Macaca fascicularis: one gene and its partner. The protein of the gene in region 2 interacts with the protein of the main gene of each other region in a biochemical or structural test. Links are inferred from orthologs where the notes say so. Each region holds a gene or a part of one and is shown on either strand. Other genes may lie near its edges.

What was found.
Region 1: the proteins of ITGB2 (region 2) and ICAM1 form a complex in vitro, tested with the Homo sapiens proteins (4 studies listed by BioGRID). The link is inferred for Macaca fascicularis from reciprocal best matches to the Homo sapiens genes ITGB2 and ICAM1.

The regions. Positions count from the first base shown.
Region 1 is NC_088393.1:10,829,299-10,835,661, reverse strand, and holds part of ICAM1 (intercellular adhesion molecule 1), read right to left. Parts: intron 4,085-6,363; coding exon 3,821-4,084; intron 1-3,820. UniProt on the Homo sapiens protein: ICAM proteins are ligands for the leukocyte adhesion protein LFA-1 (integrin alpha-L/beta-2).
Region 2 is NC_088377.1:2,151,095-2,157,457, forward strand, and holds part of ITGB2 (integrin beta-2), read left to right. Parts: intron 1-494; coding exon 495-682; intron 683-2,499; coding exon 2,500-2,744; intron 2,745-3,228; coding exon 3,229-3,448; intron 3,449-3,828; coding exon 3,829-4,031; intron 4,032-5,823; coding exon 5,824-5,990; intron 5,991-6,293; coding exon 6,294-6,356; 3' UTR 6,357-6,363.

The sequences.
Region 1 (6,363 bases), on a different chromosome or scaffold from region 2:
CTCTAGGAATTACACCTCTAACCTTTTTGGAGAAGATTGAGCCATCCAGGGAGGCTTCTTTATGTTTACACCAGGGGTGGTGCAAGACTAAGCTACAGTCTCTCTCAGGTAACACCCTCCCACACACCTTTTACTCCTTTGCTACCTGTGCCAGCCATCTGCTCCATTTCACAGAGGTAAAAACTCAGGCAAAGTGGGGCACTGACAGTCATAGAGGGAGAAATGTGGCAGAGCCGGGTCTCAAACCTGGAATTCTACACTCTCAGCTATCAGGCAGAGGCAGGAGCGGTGGCTCAAGACTGTAATCCCAGCATTTGGGAGGCTGAGGCAGGTGGATCGCCAGAGATCTGGAATTAGAGACTAGTCTGGTCAACTTGGTGAAACCCTGTCTCTACTAAAAATACAAAAATTAGCCAGGCATGGTGGCGGGTGCCTGTAGTCCCAGCTACTAGAGAGGATGAGGCAGGAGAATTGCTTGAACTTGGGAGATGGAGGTTGCAGTGATCCAGCCTGGGCAACATAGCAAGACTCTGTCTCAAATAAAAACAAAAACAAAAAAACAACCTATCAGAGATGCAGAAAAGACCTTCAAAGAGGTTTCCCTGGGGGTTTCAGAAGCTGCTTGGAATGTTCAGGGACTTCCCTCACCTGGGAAGGTCAGCATCTGCTCACCCACCCTCCAAATCAGGAGCAAAGCTGATCATTTACCCAGAGGCTTCCTTGTCCTGACACAATGATAGGAGAATGTCCTTTGTCCCTCACCGTGTCATTTTACCCATCAGAGGAGGTCTCACCTGATTGCAAAGTAAACACAGAAGCCATGTCCCCCACACTGTTAAAGGCCTTGCTAGGACTAGAACCCAAGGCTAATCCCAAAGCCACTTGGCCAGTTTTTATTTATTTATTTATTTATTTATTTATTTATTTATTGAGACGGAGTCTCGCTCTGTCGCCCAGGCTGGAGTGCAGTGGCGCGATCTCGGCTCACTGCAAGCTCCGCCTCCCGGGTTCACGCCATTCTCCTGCCTCAGCCTCCCGAGTAGCTGGGACTACAGGCGCCCACAACTGCGCCCGGCTAATTTTTTTGTATTTTTAGTAGAGACGGGGTTTCACCGTGGTCTCGATCTCCTGACCTTGTGATCCGCCCGCCTCGGCCTCCCAAAGTGCTGGGATTACAGGTGTGAGCCACCGCGCCCGGCCCAGTTTTTATTTTTTAGAGACAGGGTCTCTCTCAGTCACCCAGGCTGGAGTGCAGTGGTGTCATCACGGCTCACTGCAGCCTGGACATCCCGGGCTCAGGCGATCCTCCCACCTCAGCCTCCTGAGTATCTGGGACTACAAGTATGCCACCCACGCTTGGCTAGGTTTTTTATTTTTTGTAGCTATGGGGTCTTGCTGTGTTGCCCAGGCTGGTGTCCAACTCCTGGCCTCTAAGCAATCCTCCTACTTCGGCCTCCTAAATCGCTGGGATTATAGGCATATAGAGCCACTGTGCCTGGCCTGCCCAGTGCTCTTCTGTTTTTTCTTCTTTGATTTTGTTTTGTTTTCATTTGAATTCCTTATTTTGGCCTTGGTAACTAATTCTCACCATTCAAAGTCCCCAAAGTAGGAAGAACGCAAAGAGAATTCTCAGCTGAGCGCAGTGGCTAACGCCTGTAATCCCAGCCTTTGGGAGGCCGAGGCGGGCAGATCACAAGGTCAGGAGATCGAGACCAGCCTGGCCAAGATGATGAAACCCTGTCTCTACTAAAAATACAAAAATTAGCCGGGCATGGTGGTGGGCGCCTGTAATTCTAGCTACTTGGGGGGCTGAGGCAGAAGAATCGCTTGAACCCAGGAGGGAGAGGTTGCAGTGAGCCGAGATCATGTCATTGCACTCCAGGCTGGGGACACTGCAAGATTCTGTCTCAAAAAGACAACAACAACAAAAAAGAATTCTCGGTCGGGCGCAGTGGCTCACGTTGTAATCCCAGCACTTTGGGAGGCCGAGGCGGGCGGATCACCTGAGGTTGGGGTTTGAGACCAGCCTGACCAACATGGAGAAACCCTGTCTCTACTAAAAATACAAAATTTGCCAGGCGTGGTGGCGGGTGCCTATAATCCCAGCTACTCGGGAGGCTGAGGCAGGAGAATCACTTAAACTCGGGAGGCGGGGGTTGCAGTGAGCAGAGATCATGCCATTGCACTCCAGCCTGGGCAACAAGAGTGAAACTCTGTCTCAAAAAAAAAAAAAAAAAAAGAATTCTCCACACCCAAACCCTCTCCCACAGCCTCGCAGCCTGTCTTCTCATAGCCAACTAATATTGTCATTTCTCCCACTTCCTTTTAGGACTATTTTATACATAAATACAGCCTCCCCGAAACTGCCCCTCTGCCACTCCCTAATGTGAGGGTGGCATGCCATTCATATTCAACATACCTTCTTTCGTTTCTTTTCTTTTCTTTTTTTTTTTTTTTGAGACGGAGTTTCACTCTTCTTGCCCAAGCTGGAGTGCAATGGCGTAATCTCGGCTCACCGCAACCTCTGCCTCCCAGGTTCAAGAGATTCTCCTGCCTCAGTCTCCCAAGTAGCTGGGATTACAAGTATGTGCCACCATGCCTGGCTAATTTTTTTTTGTATTTTTAGTAGAGACGGGGTTTCTCCATGTTGGTCAGGCTGGTCTCGAACTACTGACCTCAGGTGATCCGCCCATCTCAGCCTCCCAGAGTGCTGGGATTACAGGCATGAGCCACTGCGCCCAGCCACCTTCTTTCATTTTGACTTTACAATACACCCCAGAGCTTATTCTTTTTCAGTTCACAGGAACTTCCTGATTCTTCTACACGGTCGCATGCTATTCTGTGGTATGGCCAAGCCACGCTTTCTCTCTCTAGCCTTTCCCATTTGCCCTTTGTACAAAGTGGCAGTGAATAGTGCCATAACTCCCACCACTTCCCTTGTAGGTAGGGACACCTATAGACCTCTTTCCAGGACTGGGTTTTTTTTTTTTTTTTTTTTTTGCTGTTTTTTTGTTTTTGTTTTTGAGACAGGGTCTCATTCTGTCTTCCATGCTGGAGTGCAGTGGCATGATCATAGCTCACTGCAGCCTCCATCTCCCTGGGCTCAGGTGATCCTCACACCTCAGCCTCATGAGTACCTGGGATTACAGACTTATGCCACCATGCCTAGCTAATTTTTTTTTTTTTTTTTTTTTTTGAGACACAGTCTCACTCTGTCACCCAGGCTGGCTAGAGTGCAGTGGCATGATCTCAGCTCACTGCAACCTCGGCCTCCTGGGTTCAAGTGATTCTCCTGCTTCAGCCTCCCAGGGATGGACTATAGGCACACTCCACCATGCCTGGCTAATTTTTTTGTTTTTTTGTTTTTTTTTTTTTGAGACGGAGTCTCGCTCTGTCGTCCAGGCTGGAGTGCAGTGGCCGGATCTTGGCTCACTGCAAGCTCCGCCTCCCAGGTTCACGCCATTCTCCTGCCTCAGCCTCCTGAGTAGCTGGGACTATAGGCGCCCGCCACTTTGCCCGGCTAGTTTTTTTGTATTTTTGTTTTGTAGAGATGGGGTTTCACCGTGTTAGCCAGGATGGTCTCGATCTCCTGATCTCGTGATCCGCCCGCCTCGGCCTCCCAAATTGCTGGGATTACAGGCATGAGCCACCGTGCCTGGCCTAAAGGGACTTTCTAAGGATGTCCCCACCTGCCCTTCAAGGAGCCCCTCCTTGACCCTACCAGCAAGTAACAAAGATTCTCCCAGGCCACTGCAGGTGCCCCTCTACGTCTCTCCCACTCCAGTCTGCCTAGTCCAGCCCTCCGGGCTCAGTTACTCACAGTACACGGTGAGGAGGGTTTTAGCTGATGACTGCCCATCAGGGCAGTTTGAATAGCACATTGGTTGACTATCTTCCTGCACATTGCTCAGTTCATACATCTTCCAGTTGTTTCCACCCGGGAGTATCTCCTTTTTAGGCAACGGAGTCTCCATGCCCAACGAGATGGGCTGGTCACAGGAGGCACTGCAATTCACTTTCACGGAGCCTCCCCGGGGCAGGATGACTTCTGGGGGGAACACAGATGTCTGGGCATTGCCAGGTCCTAGAAGAAACGCGGGAAGAGGTGACAGGCATTACAAATCAGGTTCATCAATGGGAATGTGCGCCCAGCCTGCGCCGGGTGCTGGAGGCACAGCCTCAACAAGACAATACTTTGCCTTCGATGTGGAAGTTAAAGAGAAAAATTCATGAGCAGGCCAGGCGCGGTGGCTCACGCCTGTAATCCCAGCACTTTGGGAGCCAAGGCGGGCAGATCACTTGAGGTCAGGAATTTGAGATCAGCCTGGCCAACATGGCGAAACCTCGTCTCCACTAAAAATACAAAAATTAGCCGGTCATGGTGGGATGTGCCTGTAGTCCCAGCTATTTGGGAGGCTGAGGCACCAGAATCACTTGAACCCGGGAGGCGGAGGTTACAGTGAGCCAAGATTGTGCCACTGTACTCCAGACTGAGCAACAGAACGAGGCTCTGTCTCAAAAAAAAAAAAAAAAAAAATTATGAGCAAACAAGATAATTAATAACTGATGTTAATATGAGCTTTGACAAAAACAAAACAGGGTGATAGAATAGACAGTGCCTTGGTGACAGGGTAATATTTCAGCAGAGATCGAAATGATGAGAAAGGGCTGGCTGTCCAGAGAAAAGGGAAGTAAGTTCCAGGCAAGTACAGAGGTCCTCGGGCAGGGTGGCTGGAGCTGAGTGAGCAAGGATGAAGAGCGGGAGATCAATTAAGGAAGATCCCATGGGCACTGAAGGCCATGCTAAAGATGTGTGCTGTTATTTATTATTATTATTATTTTTGAGATGGAGTCTCGCTTTGTCACTCAGACTGGAGTGCAGTGGCGCGATATCAGCTCACTGCAACCTCCGCCTCCCAGGTTCAAGTGATTCTCCTGCCTCAGCCTCCAGAGTATCTGGGACTAAGGCAAGCACCACCACACCCGGCTAATTTTTGTATTTTTAGTAGAGATGGGGTTTCGCCACGTTGGCCAGGCTGCTTTCAAACTCCTGACCTCAAGTGATCTGCCCACCTCAGCCTCCCAAAGTGCTGGGATTATAAGGTGTGAGACACCGTGCCCGGCCACATGTGTTCTTTATACTTAGGGCAATAGGGAGCCATGGGAGGATTTTAGCCATCGGTTTTTTTGTTTTTTTAACAGGTCTCCCTCTGTCACCCAGGCTGGAATACAGTGGTACAATCATAGCTCACTGTAACCTTGAACTCCTGGGCTCAAGTGATCCTCCCACCTCAGCCTCCCAAGTAGCTGGGACTACAGGACACCACCATACCTGGCTAATATTTGAAAAACATTTTTGTAGACATGGGGTCTCACTATGTTGCTAAGGCTGATCTCAAACTCTTCGCCTCAAGCGATTCTCCCACCTAAGCCTCCCAAAATGCCAGGATTACAGGTGTGAGTCACTGTGTCCAACCAGATTTTAACGTGAAGTTGGTGCCCTCCTCCCTCCCAAGAAGTAAGGTGGAGAGAGTCAGCCCTCCAGGAATCAGACTGGCTCCTCACTCCCTGAGACACGTAGCTTCCCCCTCTTTGGGCCTCAATTTCCCCATCTGTAAGGTGTGTGAGTATAGCCACCCTGTTCCTTGCTAATACAAGTAACTCAGCACAGGGCAGGTAGCAACTGGCTATCTCGCAGGTAAGGGCAGGTAAGAAAGGGGCTGCTGGGAGCGGTGGCTTACACCTGTAATCCCAGCACTTTGGGAGGCCGAGGCGGGCGGATCACGAGGTCAGGAGATCAAGGCCATCCTGGCTAACACCGTGAAACCCTGTCTTTGCTAAAAATACAAAAAAATTAGCCGGGCGTGGTGGCGGGCGCCTGTAGTCCCAGCTACTCCGGAGGCTGAGACAGGAGAATGGCGTGAACCCAGGAGGCAGAGCTTGCAGTGAGCCGAGATAGTGCCACTGCACTCCAGCCTGCGGGATGAGCAAGACTCCATCTCAAAATAAAAAAAAGAAAGAAAGAAAGAAAGAAGGGGCTTATAGGGTGGGCACTGTGGCTCATGCATGTAATTCCAGCACTTTGGGAGGCTGAGATGGGCAGATCACGAGGTCAGGAGATCAAGACCATCCTGGCTAACACAGTGATTAGCCGGGCGTGGTGGCACACGCCTGTAGTCCCAGCTACTCAGGGAGGCTGAGGCAGAAGAATCGCTTGAACCTGAGAGGTAGAGGTTGCAGTGAGCCCAGACCGTGCCACTGCGCTCCAGCCTAGGTGACAGAGTGAGACTCTGTCTCACAAAAAGGAAGGAAGGAAGGAAAGAAGGAAGGGAGGGAGGGAGGGAGGGATGGAGGGAGGGCAGG
Region 2 (6,363 bases):
CGCCACCACACCCAGCGACTTTTTGTATTTTTAGTAGAGACAGACTTTCACCATGTTGGTCAGGCTGGTCTCGAACTCCTGACCTCAGGTGATCTGCCCGCCTTAGCCTACAACAGTGCTGGGATTACAGGCGTGAGCTCCGGCGCCTGGCCTGCCTGTGGCTTCTCACCAGAACATTCCCTCATGCTGGGTGGTCTGAGTGGGAGTGTGCTCAGCTTATCTTGATTTGCTGTCTGCGTGTCACATGTCTCTGCCGATGTGCGGCCTGGGAGATCCTGGTGCCGGTCACAGCGGGAGTGCGGGCAGAGCACCTCCTTGCCAGCTGACTTTGGCTTCTCGGATCTGAGCATCAGCTCTTCCCTGCTCCCAGTCATCCCCTCCTCGCCACGCTGAACCCCCCACGACCCCTGCAGAGGCCAGCAGGTGAGGGCTGGAAGCCGGGCTGTGACCCTGGCCGCCGAAGGTCCCCACCTGAGCCCAGCACTGCCCTGCAGGTCACCTTCCGGGTGAAGGTCACGGCCACAGAGTGTATCCAGGAGCAGTCGTTTGTCATCCGGGCACTGGGCTTCACGGACACAGTGACCGTACGGGTCCTTCCCCAGTGTGAGTGCCGGTGCCGGGACCAGAGCAGAGACCGCGGCTTCTGCCATGGCAAGGGCTTCTTGGAGTGTGGCATCTGCAGGTGAGGCGGGCACAGGTCCCCGTGAAGCCTCCCCCAGCCCCACCCCACAGGGCAGGTGTCTGCAGGTGAGGCGGGCACAGGTCCCCACCCCACAGGGCAGGTGTCTGCAGGTGAGGTGGGCCCTGGTCCCTGTGAATGCTCCCCCAGTCCCACCCCACAGGGCAGGTGTCTGCAGGTGAGGCGGGCACAGGTCCCCGTGAAGCCTCCCCCAGCCCCACCCCACAGGGCAGGTGTCTGCAGGTGAGGTGGGTGCAGGTTCCCATGAAGCCTCCCCCAGCCCCACCCCACAGGGCAGGTGTAAGCAGGTAAGGTGGGCACAGGTGGCTCCATCCCCACCCCCACTCCACAGATCGGGCGTCCTGGGGGCCCCCTTCTGCAGGAGGTGGGGAGATTTGGGATTGGAACCCAGAAACCCTCGGCAAGCCCTCCCCCGTGCTCCTGAGCCAGGGCACCAGCGATGCCAGCCTGTACTCTACACTCTCTGGCCATGGAGGACCCAAGGCAGGGGACTGGTGGGCAGGAGGACCCCCTCACCAGAGGATAGAGGCCCATGTCAGGGGCACAAGGAGTCCCCACTGGGCGTGCCCATGGCCTTGAGTAGGTCACTTTCTCTGCCTGACCTTCCTTGACCCTCGGAGCTGGCTTCTTTCTGTCCTTGGGGACCCAAGGCTATCAGGCTGGCAGCCCTGGGGCATGAGAGGCCAGAGAGCCTCCTGGGACAGGTGACTGCTTCTGGCAGCCTGGGCCCCATAGGCCTCCCTTCGGGAGTGCACACCCCCTGCCAGGCGTGGGCACCCCACCTCAGGGAGAAGCTGGGGACAGGTGGACCCAGCGGGGAGGTTCACATGGCATTCAGCCAGGAGGCTTACCCTGGGGCTGGATGGCTCTCCCCCTTTCCTTGCCTGCCTGGCGGAGCTGCTGGGCTGACCTCCCAGGGCTCTGCCCCGTTTGCTCTGGCCACCTCCTCCCCTCTCCAGACTGCTGTGCCAGTCCACGCCCTGGTGGCAGTGGACCTGCAGGTCCCTGCTGCCCCCAGCCTCCTCCCATTTCTCAGGACAGTGATGGTCTCTGTGGTCTTGGTGGTCTCTGGCTGTCCCCGTGCCTCAGTGCCCACCCTGCCCACTATCCTGGGTGTGCAGTCCTGGGGCGGCCTCTTCACGGGACTGTAGGGGTGACTCAGTCGAAACACTTGGCAGGTGTCGCGGGGTGCCCTGCCGCAGGTAATCAGATGCTCGGTCCTGTGGCTTCCTCCTCTGGGGAGCAAGACAGCCCATGGCAGGGCTGTCCCTGAGGATGCCTCAGGGGCTCCTGTCTGCCCGCGTCTTGGTGACAGCTTCCACATCTGACAAAACCACTTGTCCCTGAGTTCTCCCACAACCTGGCCGGTCAGTGCACAAACGCAGGCGGCAGCTGGCTGGAGAGAGGGCGGGGCTGTGGCAGGTGGCAGTGCCAAGTCCCCGCTGGCCACCACGTGGGGCATGCAGGAGCAGACACCAGCCACTCACAGGGCACCAGTGTCGCAGCACAGGCCATGTGCATGGCAGCAACACAGCTGCACAGTGAGCCTGCCGAGCCGCTGCATGCTCAGGCCGAGGCCAGGTGTCTGCTTTCCCCTCGGGACATCCTGGGGAGGGAGCCCAGGGCCCCCGCACGTTTTGAGCACATTTAGTACATGGCAGGTCCTCAGTAGGCCTCGAGGAAGGCACAGACAGTGTGCCACAGGGGTGTTCTCCACCAAGGGCAAGGGGCCTGGAGGACGGGGCGGCCGTCTCACATCACTGTGGGGAGCCTGACCTTGGAGCTCCTCCTGTCCCCAGGTGTGACACTGGCTACATTGGGAAAACCTGTGAGTGCCAGACGCAGGGCCGGAGCAGCCAGGAGCTGGAAGGAAGCTGCCGGAAGGACAACAACTCCGTCATCTGCTCAGGGCTGGGGGACTGCGTCTGCGGGCAGTGTCTGTGCCACACCAGCGACGTCCCCGGCAAGATGATATACGGGCAGTACTGCGAATGTGACACCGTCAACTGTGAGCGCTACAACGGCCAGGTCTGCGGCGGCCCGGGTGAGCCCGTAGGTCCCTGCTGTACAACAGCCGTCCTGCGGCACAGACTCGGCGTTGGGGGGTGCATTCTGGAACACGCAACGAGTGGAACAAAAAGGGGGGATCCTGAGGACAGACAGCGCAAGTCTCGCCCGGCCACTGGGCGTCAGCAGGAACTTGGACGACCCTGCACCCCGCCCTGCCTCAGTTTCTGTCTCCATGAGGGCAAGGGGTCCTTGTGGGGAGGGTCCACAGGAGGAACGATCACAGCCCTACCGAGGTCCCATTCACAGCAGGGCAGGGGCAGGCCCAGACTGGCCAGGAGGTGGCCACGTGGCTGACAGGGGCTGGAAGGCCTGGCTAGTGGCCCGGTGCCTTTTGCTCAGGCACATCCCCCAAGCTGGAGGGGGCAGGTGGGCCGGAGGGAGCGACAGCAGTGGGGTTTCGGGCGGGTCTCGGTCCCCAGGCCAAGCAGGAGCTTAGTCGTGCTGCCCCCGTCTTCCAGCGAGGGGGCTTTGCTTCTGCGGGAAGTGCCGCTGCCTCCAGGGCTTCGAAGGCTCAGCGTGCCAGTGCGAGAGGACCACCGAGGGCTGCCTGAACGCGCGGCGCGTCGAGTGCAGCGGCCGTGGCCGGTGCCGCTGCAACGTGTGTGAGTGCGAAAGGAATTACCAGCCTCCTTTGTGCCAGGAGTGCCCCGGCTGCCCCTCGCCCTGCGGCGAGCACATGTGAGTGCAGGTGGAGCAGGCAGGGTGGGCAGGGATCCCTGCTCCCCGGCCACCTCCCCAGCAGCTGGGCTCACTCAGGGTCCCCAGTGAGCACCTCTGCACCTCAGGGTTCTCTGCGGGTGCATTTGGACTGAGGAGCCCTCAGCGGCCGCTGCACCCCTGTGCCCCCCTCCCTCCTGTGCGCACCTGCCATGGGCCCTGGGATCAGGCTCCCAGTTCACCCACTGCACCCCGCATCTGCCCCACTCGGGCCCCCTCCTTGGCCTGAGGACACCCCAACCCCACCTGCCCCACCTGGTGGACACACACCCAAGCCCAAGCCCCTGATGCCTGAGCCCCCGCACGCCCTGGCACCCACGCTCACGCCTGGCTCCCCACAGCTCCTGTGCTGAGTGCCTGAAGTTCGACAAAGGCCCTTTCGGGAAGAACTGCAGCGCGGCGTGTCGGCGCCTGCAGCTGTCGAACAACCCCGTGAAGGGCAGGACCTGCAAGGAGAGGGACTCAGAGGGCTGCTGGGTGACGTACATGCTGGAGCAGCAGGACGGGTGGGATCACTACATCATCTATGTGGATGAGAGCCGAGGTGAGGCCACTGGGGTGTAGCGGGGACCGGCTCCAGAGCTCCGACTGCGGGGTCTCTGCAGAGGCGAGGGTGGTGCAGAAGCAGGGTCTCACCTCCAGTGGTGTGGGCCTAGCAGGGTGGGTGAGCCATGCGGGATGCCCTTGGTGGCATTGCAAGGAGGCCAGAGGCCAGTTCCCCCAACCCCGAGCAGCCTCCCTTTTCCATCCCCTCCTCACCTGACCCCGCATCAAGCTGGGCAGCAGATGGCCTGTTCCCTGGGGCACCGCTGCTCCACACCGGGCAGGCCCACCAGCATGCCACACTGCCCGGGCCAGGTCATCTCCCACTGGATGCCTCATGGGGCCAGGCTTGGAGTTGCAGGTCCCTAGGGGTGGCCTGAGGTCAGGCTGCTGAGTGAAGCTCCCCTGAGGGGATTGAAAGATCCTGGTGCTCGGCTTTCAGCCCTGGAAGGGCCCAGGGGCACCAGGCACTGCCATCCCCCAACACTCTCTGCTCGTCACTCATTTGGCTCCAGTCGGAACCAGGCCCAGCCCCACGGTGACCTTGGTGGCACTGACCCTGTCTTTTCAGGTCTCATGTTCCACAGGCTCCCGAGAGGCAGAGGGGCTGGGACTGGGGGGCCGCTGGCGGACTCCATCAGGCATGGCCAGCAGCCAGCCAGAACTCTTGCAGGACTGAGACCTGGGAGCTCCTCCCTCCCCAGGAGGGGACCCAAGGCAGGCAGTGGGGTGCTCTGAGCCCAGTGCTCTGACATGCCTGGAGCTCACAACCCACACGTGGGCCTGGGGCTGCAGACCCCCGTCTGCCAGGGCAGGAACCCCTGCAGGCCACTTTGAGGGACAGACCTGGGTCATGTCTGGTTTGTGCAATCCCGGTCAAGTCACTTCACCTTTGAGGACAGGTGAAGGAAGGCAGACCCCCCACCAGGAAAGACAGGATGGCAGGAGGGGGCCCGGGGAGTGAGGGTGCGGGTCAGGATGGCAGGAGGGGCACAGGGAGTGAGGGTACGGGTCAGGATGGCAGGAGGGGCATGGGGAGTGAGGGTGCGGGTTAGGATGGCAGGAGGGGGCACGGGGAATGAGGGTGCGGGTTAGGATGGCAGGAGGGGACCCGGGGAGTGAGGGTGCGGGTCGGGACGGCAGGAGGGGGCCCAAGGAGTGAGGGTGCAGGTCAGGATGGCAGGAAGGGGCATGGGGAGTGAGGGTGCCAGGTCAGGCCAGGGACTGCCTGTCTGTCCCAGGGTCAGCAGCTGTGGGCCTGGTCCACTATGGCCACAGTCCCCATGCTCAGGAGGTGAGCACAGCTGCTGCGGGAACCAGGACCTCACGCTGCTTATCCTGGTAGCGGCCTCACCTGCTGAGCTCAGATCTGGGCCTGTCCTTGACGACCATAAATCACCTTCGCAGTAGGGGGAGCGAACGCCAGCAGGGACCCTGAGCCTTATTCTGAACTCTGATGTAGAACAGTGGGGTCCCTCACACTGTCTCCTACCTCCCAGTATTAGCGCTCTGCCCTGGCTGCCCAGTACCCTGGCCCTGCCTTCTTCTCTGTGAGCAGGGGTGGTGGCAGTGGCCCTTAGATTTCATTTGGAACCATGGGGCCTGGCATTGAATCCGGCAGGGGCTCGGCCAGGTTCTCACTGACCCCTGGCCGTGGTGATGGACGGTGAGCCAGGGCCCTGGGAACCTCCGTCTCTCTAAGTGCTGTGTTGTGCGGTGACCTCGGACCTGTGGGCACACACGGCCCAGTGAGATGGGGCTGGACTGATGCTCGGTGCGCTGCTTCTTCCTAGAGTGCGTGGCGGGCCCCAACATCGCCGCCATCGTCGGGGGCACTGTGGCAGGCATCGTGCTGATCGGCGTCCTCCTGCTGGTCATCTGGAAGGCCCTGACCCACCTGAGCGACCTCCGGGAGTACAGGCGTTTTGAGAAGGAGAAGCTCAAGTCCCAGTGGAACAACGTAAGCTGCCATCCTCCGGGGTCCCACGCAGAGGGGCGTGTACGTCCCACACTCTGCGACCTCCTGCTGCGGGAGGCCATGGACACCCACGCATGGCTGCACCTCGGCCTCCCCGGGCAGCTTGTCCTCTGGGCATCCGCCGCTGTGGGTGAGCTTGGCCGCCGGTGCTGGGACCCTGGGAGGGCTGCCCCACCTCCAGCTCTTCCTCAAAGCGACGGCTTCCATGCGGGGAGTATCTTCAGGTATAAAGATTCTGCTCTGAAAACCTCCCACACTCACAAGCCTGTTTGCGTTTCCCACCAGGATAATCCCCTTTTCAAGAGCGCCACCACGACGGTCATGAACCCCAAGTTTGCTGAGAGTTAGGAGCACT